Linked DNA regions of Danio rerio. The protein of the gene in region 1 purifies or fractionates together with the protein of each later gene. This does not show direct contact. Links are inferred from orthologs where the notes say so. Each region holds a gene or a part of one and is shown in the gene's direction. Other genes may lie near its edges.

Region 1 (4,482 bases):
TCTGACTCACTTAGCTGAAAAATCTGTTCTGAAGAAGCTACTATTAAATCATTTAGCAAACTTTCTTTATAGAGCAAGATATATCATATAATTATTCCTAACATGTATATAGCGCTATTCTGGACACTCAACGCGCTTTACACATTTTTCTCCTCATCCACCACTAGTGTGCAGCATCCACCTGGATGACGCGACGGCAGCCATATTGCGCCAGACCACACACCAGCTGATTGGAGGAGAGAAGACAAAGTGATGAAGCCAATTATGATATGGGGATGTTAGGAGGCCATGATGGACAGAGGAAAGTTTGGCAAGGATGCCACGGAGACAGAGTCAGGACCTCAGTTAAACGTCTCCACCTGAAAGACGGCACTCACTGAGCAGTATAGAGTCCCCATCAATATACTGGGGCATTAGGACCCACACAGACCCCAGGTTGAGCACCCCCTGCTGGTCTCTCTAACACCACATCCACCAGCAAGTTAGCTTTGCCATGTGGTCTCCCATCCAGATACTTACCGGGTGCAGCCTTACTTTGCTTCAGTGGGCTACCATATGAGAGTTGTAGTGAGCTAGCTGCTGGCTAAATATATACAGCAGCGTAAATAGGTTTATAGGTGAACTCTGTTTGTAAGGGGGACACAATTTAAATTAATTTGCACCGTATATGGGAATTGTGTACTTTAATGTTGTTGCATTAGAAACTTGCTTTGAATTTTATTTTTTTGTCTAACTGGCCTACAGAAATTGTGTTTACATAATTGTCCCATTACGTAGCCTACGCCATTACTATTGAATTTTGTTGTTTATATATTTTGTCAGCTTGTTATTTATTCATTATTGGTTTTTTTATATTATGTTCATATAGTCTTTAAAGTGGAATATTCAAAGCAAACTTCTTGTACAACATTAAAGTAAGTCTCATACATTTTGCAGATTGAATTGTTTACTCCCTCTACAAATACAGGTTTAAAAGGTCACTTATCATTTATGCTGATGTCGTATTTTGCTTTATGTAGAGTAAGTTTGCAAATTTATTTGATTGCAGCTTCATCAGAACAGGTTTTTCAGAGAAGAGTCAGATTTCGCAGACATTAGTCAGGCAATAAGACTTGAGAATTCAACAACCCGTATATAATGTAATATATACTACGCAATGACTTAAATTTTGAACACTAGGAAATCGCATCTGTCACCTGATATATACGAAGCAATAAATCGGCTAACAAACTAAAACGCAGATCAGTATGGTAACTTAGGTATACATAGACCAGCGATGGGAAAAGTAACACGATCCACGTGACGGCTTTTTTATGCCTTACCAGTTCTAACGTATTAGAAGAGCCTAATATTTAAAATATATGCTAAATTTATATTTTTATTGTAAAAATATTTGTTTTAATGTATGAGTTCTATATCACAGTGCGCTCTCATTCTAATACAGTTTGTCTCCATTTGCTTGCCGTACAGAATCAATCTCCATGACAACTGCAAGTCGCCTCAGCGGAGCATCGTGTTATTTCTCGCAATAAATGCTCATTCAGCTCGCAAGTGATTGTTTTAACTTATCTTTTTATTTTGTCTTTGTCAAATAACGGCGTGGAATATATGTCAGTGTGTTAATTGAGACATAAAACAGATTTTTATTTCTGTTTTGCTAGCCAGCTAGTCGTGTAACTGTTAGCATCGGAATGGACCAGTATAGTATTCTTGGCCGGATTGGGGAAGGAGCTCACGGGATTGTTTTCAAAGCCAAACACATTGAGGTTGTGTCATGTATATCTTCATTTATTTTATGTTAAAAGGCCGTTTTCTAATAAAAAGGCCTATGTGCACTTCATCTGTTGATGTTTTCAGACAGGAGAGACAGTGGCTTTGAAAAAAGTGGCCCTGCGAAGACTTGAAGATGGCATCCCGAACCAGGCGTTAAGAGAAATTAAAGCCCTGCAAGAGATTGAGGACAACCAATATGTGAGATATGATCATTACTCATTTCTCAAACCTGTGCAGTGGAGAATGAAGAGCATCTATTTTGCATAAAACCGTGTCGTACCAAGTTCAGATTCTGTGAATCGCTTAGTAAATGATAACTATTCATTCATTTTTTCTTCGGGTTAACGTTAGTCCCTTTATTTATCAGGTGTCGCCACAGCGGAATGAACCACCAATAATTTTAAAACAATCATAAAAAAATTATTGCAATAAATGTTTAAATTATTACATTAAATGTTGAAATTAGTGCACAGCAAACCATGATGTGAATGATGCCTTCGTGTCTGTTTTAGGAAGAATTACTCTTGATTATCAAAATAACAATAGCATAATCTCTGTATTCATTATTTCTTCCCAGATTATTGACATTTTACTCAATGAAACAACAATTTCAAGAAGATTTGAAGAATATCTTTGCTCTAACAGAGCACCCTGTCTCACTGCACCATTTCTATATATTATAGAATATACTATATTTTGCACATTCTTAATCTGTTTTACGTTATATCATGATATATACATACATAACAAATACAAGTAGATAAACCCTCCCTTATGTTCACTCATCTATTATTAATATAGGGTTAGGGTTATGATTTTTGTTTGGGTATGTAGTGGAAGTGGGCTTTGAATTGTAAGATTGATAAACAGAGAATCAACCGAAGCAGATTTATGTTAGGCATGTAATATAATAAATATAACAGATGTACAGTTGATGAATAGTTCCCCCCATTATATTTTCCCCCCAATTTCTGTTTAACGAAAACAAGAACTTTTTCAACACATTTCTAAACATAATACTTTTTATAACTCTTTTCCAATAACTGATTTATTTTATATTTTCCATGATGACAGTACATAATATTTTAGTACATATTTTTCAGGATACTAGTATTCAGCTTAAAGTGACATTAAAAGTCTTAACTATGTTAATTAGGCAAATTAAGGTAATTAGGCATGTCATTTTAAATCAATGTTTATTCTGTAGACCAGTGGTCACCAAACTTGTTCCTGGAGGCTGGTGTTTCTGCAGGGTTTAGCTCCAACTTACCGGCCCTCCAGGACCGAGATTGGTGACCCCTGCTGTAGACAATCAAAAAATACATTGCTACTAATTTTGACCTTAAAAGTTTTTTAAAAAATTAAAAACTGCTTTTATTCTAGCCAAAATAAAACAAATAAGACTTTTTCCAGAAGAAAAAATACTATAGGAAATACTGTGAAAACGAATACTGTCGCCGTACCATCTTGCAGTGTAAACAAAGCAGTGACAAAACGCTAGCCCAGATAGTCATGCCGTGTGAAAACATCTGTGACACGACTACTTTGAAAATCATGCAGTCTGAACTCGGCATTAAACATCATTTGGGAAATATTTGAAAGTGGAAAAAAAATTCACATCAGGTATAATAATTTAGACTTTTCAACTGTATACGTTATCCTTTCAATTTCATAAATGTTTGTATCGTCTGTATAGGTTGTGAAGCTGAAGGACGTCTTCCCTCACGGCACAGGCTTTGTGCTGGTGTTCGAGTACATGTTATCAGATCTGTCAGAAGTCATAAGGAATTCCCAGCGTCCTCTCACCGCATCCCAGGTCAAAAGTTATATGATGATGCTGCTGAAAGGAGTGGCTTTCTGCCACGAGAACTCCATCATGCATAGGGTGAGCTAGTGTTCCCGTGTTCAACATCTTGGGTGTGTTTCAGGTACTATGCTTTATGTTTGTGTATGTGTGTATATAGGATCTGAAGCCTGCAAACCTTCTGATCAGCTCGACTGGTCATCTGAAAATCGCTGACTTTGGTCTGGCAAGGCTTTTTTCCAATGAAGGAGATCGTCTTTACAGTCACCAAGTGGCCACCAGGTGAGTTTACTTGAGTCTGTTTAAGATAAATACGAAATCATATGCCTAAAACATTTGTGTTATTTTTCAGATGGTACAGAGCACCAGAACTTTTATACGGTGCCCGAAAATATGACGAAGGAGTTGATCTCTGGTAATAATTAAGTTGTTTTGTCATTAATTTTTCCAGTCGGCATGAAATCATAATAATTTATAAGATTGCAGTGTTTTTTTAATTGTAAAAATACTTGGAAGATACCGTTCATAAAAAAATGAAAACGTTCATTAAATAAAAGAAATTTCCTGTGAAATTGTAATTACTTTTCAGATATCCCCCAAGTGATATTTAAAAGAGATTTTAAACATAATATTTTTAATAATTAATTTCTTTATTTAAATAATATTTGAATTATAATTTAGCAAGATACTTGTATTTAGAGTGCAACTTAAAGTGCAATTTAAAGGCTTAGCTAGGTTAAATATTTAACTAGGCAAATTGGGTTAATTAGGGAAGTCACCAATCAAAAAAAGGATTTCGATTCCCCTCAACTGAAACAGAATCTTTGATCTTTTATCGTGCCATTTTTTTTTAGATATCAACATCTGAGAAACTATGTTTGCACATCTCTCACCCACTTTGAACT
Region 2 (4,355 bases), on another chromosome or scaffold:
TTACCTCAGATTAAGGCTGAAATGTTTTGTTCTGTTGACCATCTCTGCACTTCTGTTGTGATGTGTATATAACCTTGTAACATTAGAAAGAGGTTTGAGCGGCAAACGTGTATTTTGGAGCAGGAAGGCGAATGACAAGAGTTTCCCCTGTACTTTTCATCGTCCTTTCTTGCGACCTGACAGTATTCAATATGAAGCAGTCTCTGTCCCATTGGGTTTGCTTTGTATTTCATTGTAGGGTATAGCTCGGATCTGTGTTTTTAGGGCCTTAGGTGTCTTGTTGTAGGTAAATATGTCCTTTGTATGTTTCTTTATATTGTAAAGTTTCTTTAGACTGAGAAAAAAAGAAAAGAAAATTTGCTTATCAAAAAGAAATGCATCAATAATAAATGTAATTTGATATTTTTGTGCGTTTCAGTTTTTTATATATATATATATATATATATATATATATATATATATATATATATATATATATATATATATATATATATATATATATATATATATATATATATATTAAATATTAAATCATTCATAAGTGATTTGGTAAAAAAAAACATAAATTGATATATTAATTAATATTAATATTAGATTAGTATATTAAAAACAACTAGAAAATATTTCATGTACAGTGGTAAAATTACTAAATAATAATGAAATTAAATTTAATAAATATGTAGGTGATATGAAATCTTAAATATCATCAGTAATTGTTTTAAATTCTTTAAGAATACATGTAATTGTTAAAACATCAGAAACAAAAGTATATAGTTTATTACAAAAGTATAATGTTATATAGCCCTACTTAAAAAATTTTATATTTATTTTATTACATTGATATACATTTAATTCAGTTTCAATATTTATTATTTAATATATAATTGAATGTAGAAAACAATTATGTCATTAAATTTGTTCTATGTAAATAGGTTCAAACAAATCAAATAAATATTAAATATAAACTATGTTTATACGGATATATAAAAATATTTATTTATATTATTAATTTCATATTTTTATCATATGTAATCATATATTGTTAATATAAATTGTTTTAATATTGATAGAAATGTGAATTTAATTGATATATTAAAATATTAAACAGAAATTACTGTCATACACATTTTTAATTTTGGAAGAAAAAAAATAAAATCAATTAAACTGTTGAATGTGCATTTATATTATGGAATATAAAAGTCCCCTCAGTCATTGCAGCGACCTTGACTCTGACTTTTATTTTGTAGTTGTCTGCGATGACCATTGACCTTTACCCGGAAGTTGCAGAGATTGATCTTGTGTTGTTGTGAAAGTTGTTGCTGCGCTGCTCTGAGGTGTATTTTCTTCTCACTGCGGTAAGCTTTTGCTCTTTTACAGCACTTTTCACACGTTTTATTGCACAGAAACATTTATAAGAGAGTTGTGTCATCACGCTGCACTCAGCCGTGCGCGCGCTCCGTCTCAAAGTTGTTGGAACGTTCTGGAAACACTGACATCTCTGCAAATAATAATAAGAGATTTACAGTAAGCATTCGCCCGCGTTCGTAATGAAATACAAACCTTTTGAAGGCATATAAGATGAACATTATAATGCACATTGAAGACGTAGCACTGAATTACAACAGAATATTCACGCGTGGACGATGTGTCATTTCACTTTAACGAAGATTTTATCGGTTATTGAGGTAAAGTTGGTTTTATATTTGTAGATTCTTTCAGTGGCAACTTGTGACATTCTGCCTGTATTGTTTACCATGGTACTTTGAGTATTTAGTCTGAAATCACATGCAAGTTTGACTACAAAACTGTTTAATCGCCTGTGAACAATGTTATACTTTAATAGTCGTTGACTGCTAATATGATTTCACTATTTAGAGTTTTGAAATCATATTATTAAGGAGAAAGTCCAATGGTGTAAAATTAAAACCAACTTTACCTCAATTGAACGATTGTTTTGTCAATAAAAAAGTTTCTAATTATACGATAGCTGGGGTTTATTTATTAAGCAAAATCACTCATAGTAATAGCATGTTTTTACGCGTTTACCATGGTAATATAATGAGTATTTGGAGTTTGTCAGGAATAACATAACATTTGAATAGGGTATAATTCAGTATTAAAAGAACTAAAACTTTAAATAGTATATATAAGTTAAATCTAATAGTCACAATTTAGTAACTATTTTTTGTTTTGGTCAAGTAATAAAGTAATAGGGTTAGACAAACCTTTTTTATATTTTTTTACTAATAACACACATGCCTCTCCTACAAATGAGCACTGAAATTATGACCCATGGTTTCTGTGCAGTATTGCCAAAGTGCCAGGAGTAAAAATGTTACCATTTATCCAACCTGTGGGGCAAGTTGTAACAGACAGGGGGTTAATTGTAACACATGCTTATAAAGGCAGATTTCACACAATTAATTTAAATTCAGTTTACTTTAAATAGTAGCTTTATTTCCTCAGTAATTGACTCTTTTTTATTCTACATAGCACAGTATGTTAATTTATTTATTGGATAAACACATTTGGATTTATTTGCATTATTATTAATTTATACATTAACATTTTTCAATTAAAAAACATTTTTATTTAAAAAGTTCTTAACATTTCATTCAAAATTCAACAATTATTTTGTTAGTTTAATTGGTACCCAACAGTGTGTGGCTTAATTGTAACACCCTGTTTCAACTAACCCCACTGTGTCGTGTTTTCCTCAAAACTGGCTAGAAGTCACTGTGTGTTTATTACATCTTTTAAAATTGTTTCATCTTTTAGCCTAGAAGACTGTAATCACAACAATATAAGATTTTGCATACATACTTTCACAGATTAAAAAAAAAAAAAAAAAAAAAAAAAAAAAAATATATATATATATATATATATATATATATATATATATATATATATATATATATATATATATATATATATATATTTCGACTATAATAAAAAATGCTTTTATGCTACAAAAGTGGTTTCTCCTGTGTTTCTCATCCAAATTTCGCCGAACTTTTTCAATAATTGGCAGGAAGACGTCTGCCGGCACTGTGGTGAAAACCTTGGAAGCATGCCATGGTCAACCCTGAGCAAATACCTTAAAACTTTGTGTTAAATTTAACCCCATGTTACTTTGTGCCCCACGCTGCCCTATTTATGTTTCAGTAAATATAACAATTGATTTAATGGTATCACCTTTTCTATGTTGTATTTTATATTATCTTTTTTTCCTTAATAAAAAAAAGTCTGAACCAATATTAAAATCTCTAATTTACAAGTGAACATCTTACCATTCCGTGTTCATGCAGTTGTATATCTTGCACTGTATTGTTTCAATCACACATCTTCTTAGAGCTGTTATTTAGACTGAATTTGAAATGTAAAATCAGATATTTTTATTAGTTTAGAACTCATCTCTCTACTGTACGATAGATAGATAGATAGATAGATAGATAGATAGATAGATAGATAGATAGATAGATAGATAGATAGATAGATAGATAGATAGATAGATAGATAGATAGATAGATAGATACTAGATTATTGTTTTTCTGCAATATATTTCGATATTGTTTGAAAATATTTACAATATATATTTTGCGATATACTTTGTTATATTGAGGTAAAGCTGGTTTATATTTGGACATTTAAACTGTAACCTTCTTACTATAGTTTCAAAAAAGTAATCTTTTCAAATTCGAAGCAGTGAAATCCTATTAGCTGCCAAAGACAGTCAAAGTACAACATTGTTCACAGTCAGTGAAGTAGTGCTCATTTTGATTTGAAGATGTATACATGCTATTTCAGACCAACCATTCGAAGTAGTGCACCACAAGTGCTTTCTATTCTAAAATGAGTGAATGTGCGAATATAAAACCAACTTTAGCTTAATTGTTATACTTGGAAAGAATTTTTGGTCACACTTTATTTTAAGGTTCAGTTCTTGCTCTTAGCAAACCATTTTGACTTTTGCTTTACTAAACTTCTAGTTTGCTCCTTTAGTAGTTTAGGTGTTGCGTTGGATTAGGGACGTAGAATAAGATCATGCAGAACACGTGGTTTATAAGTACTAATTAGCAGCCACTATCTTAACATGCATGCTAATGGCCAACTAGTTAATAGTGAAAATGAATCCCTATAGTGTTACTGAATGTCTTAATTTTGATTGATAGGGATGATTCTGTAGGGGAGTGAATCGTGCTGAACATGTAATAAGCAAACTTCAAGCATAGATAAATGTAACAAAGCTAAGATGAAGGCAAAATTAACAGTGCATGCATTATGGTTTTGTATATGTAAATGTAAAAATTACACTGCAAAATTAACTGTGAAACACAAAAGAACATCAAAGCTGT

Evidence for each region.
Region 2: the proteins of cdk20 (region 1) and fkbp8 purify together in Homo sapiens (affinity purification with mass spectrometry; 5 studies listed by BioGRID and IntAct, with this or other methods). This does not show direct contact. The link is inferred for Danio rerio from reciprocal best matches to the Homo sapiens genes CDK20 and FKBP8.

What each region holds. Positions count from the first base shown.
Region 1 is NC_133183.1:9,036,053-9,040,534, reverse strand, and holds the start of cdk20 (cyclin-dependent kinase 20), read left to right. Parts: upstream 1-1,468; 5' UTR 1,469-1,532; coding exon of another isoform or gene 1,533-1,551; 5' UTR 1,552-1,665; coding exon of another isoform or gene 1,666-1,766; intron 1,767-1,857; coding exon of another isoform or gene 1,858-1,971; intron 1,972-3,469; coding exon of another isoform or gene 3,470-3,529; coding exon 3,530-3,658; intron 3,659-3,737; coding exon 3,738-3,859; intron 3,860-3,929; coding exon 3,930-3,992; intron 3,993-4,482. UniProt on the Homo sapiens protein: Required for high-level Shh responses in the developing neural tube.
Region 2 is NC_133197.1:20,760,103-20,764,457, reverse strand, and holds the start of fkbp8 (peptidyl-prolyl cis-trans isomerase FKBP8), read left to right. Parts: upstream 1-1,284; 5' UTR 1,285-1,355; intron 1,356-4,355. UniProt on the Homo sapiens protein: Constitutively inactive PPiase, which becomes active when bound to calmodulin and calcium. Seems to act as a chaperone for BCL2, targets it to the mitochondria and modulates its phosphorylation state.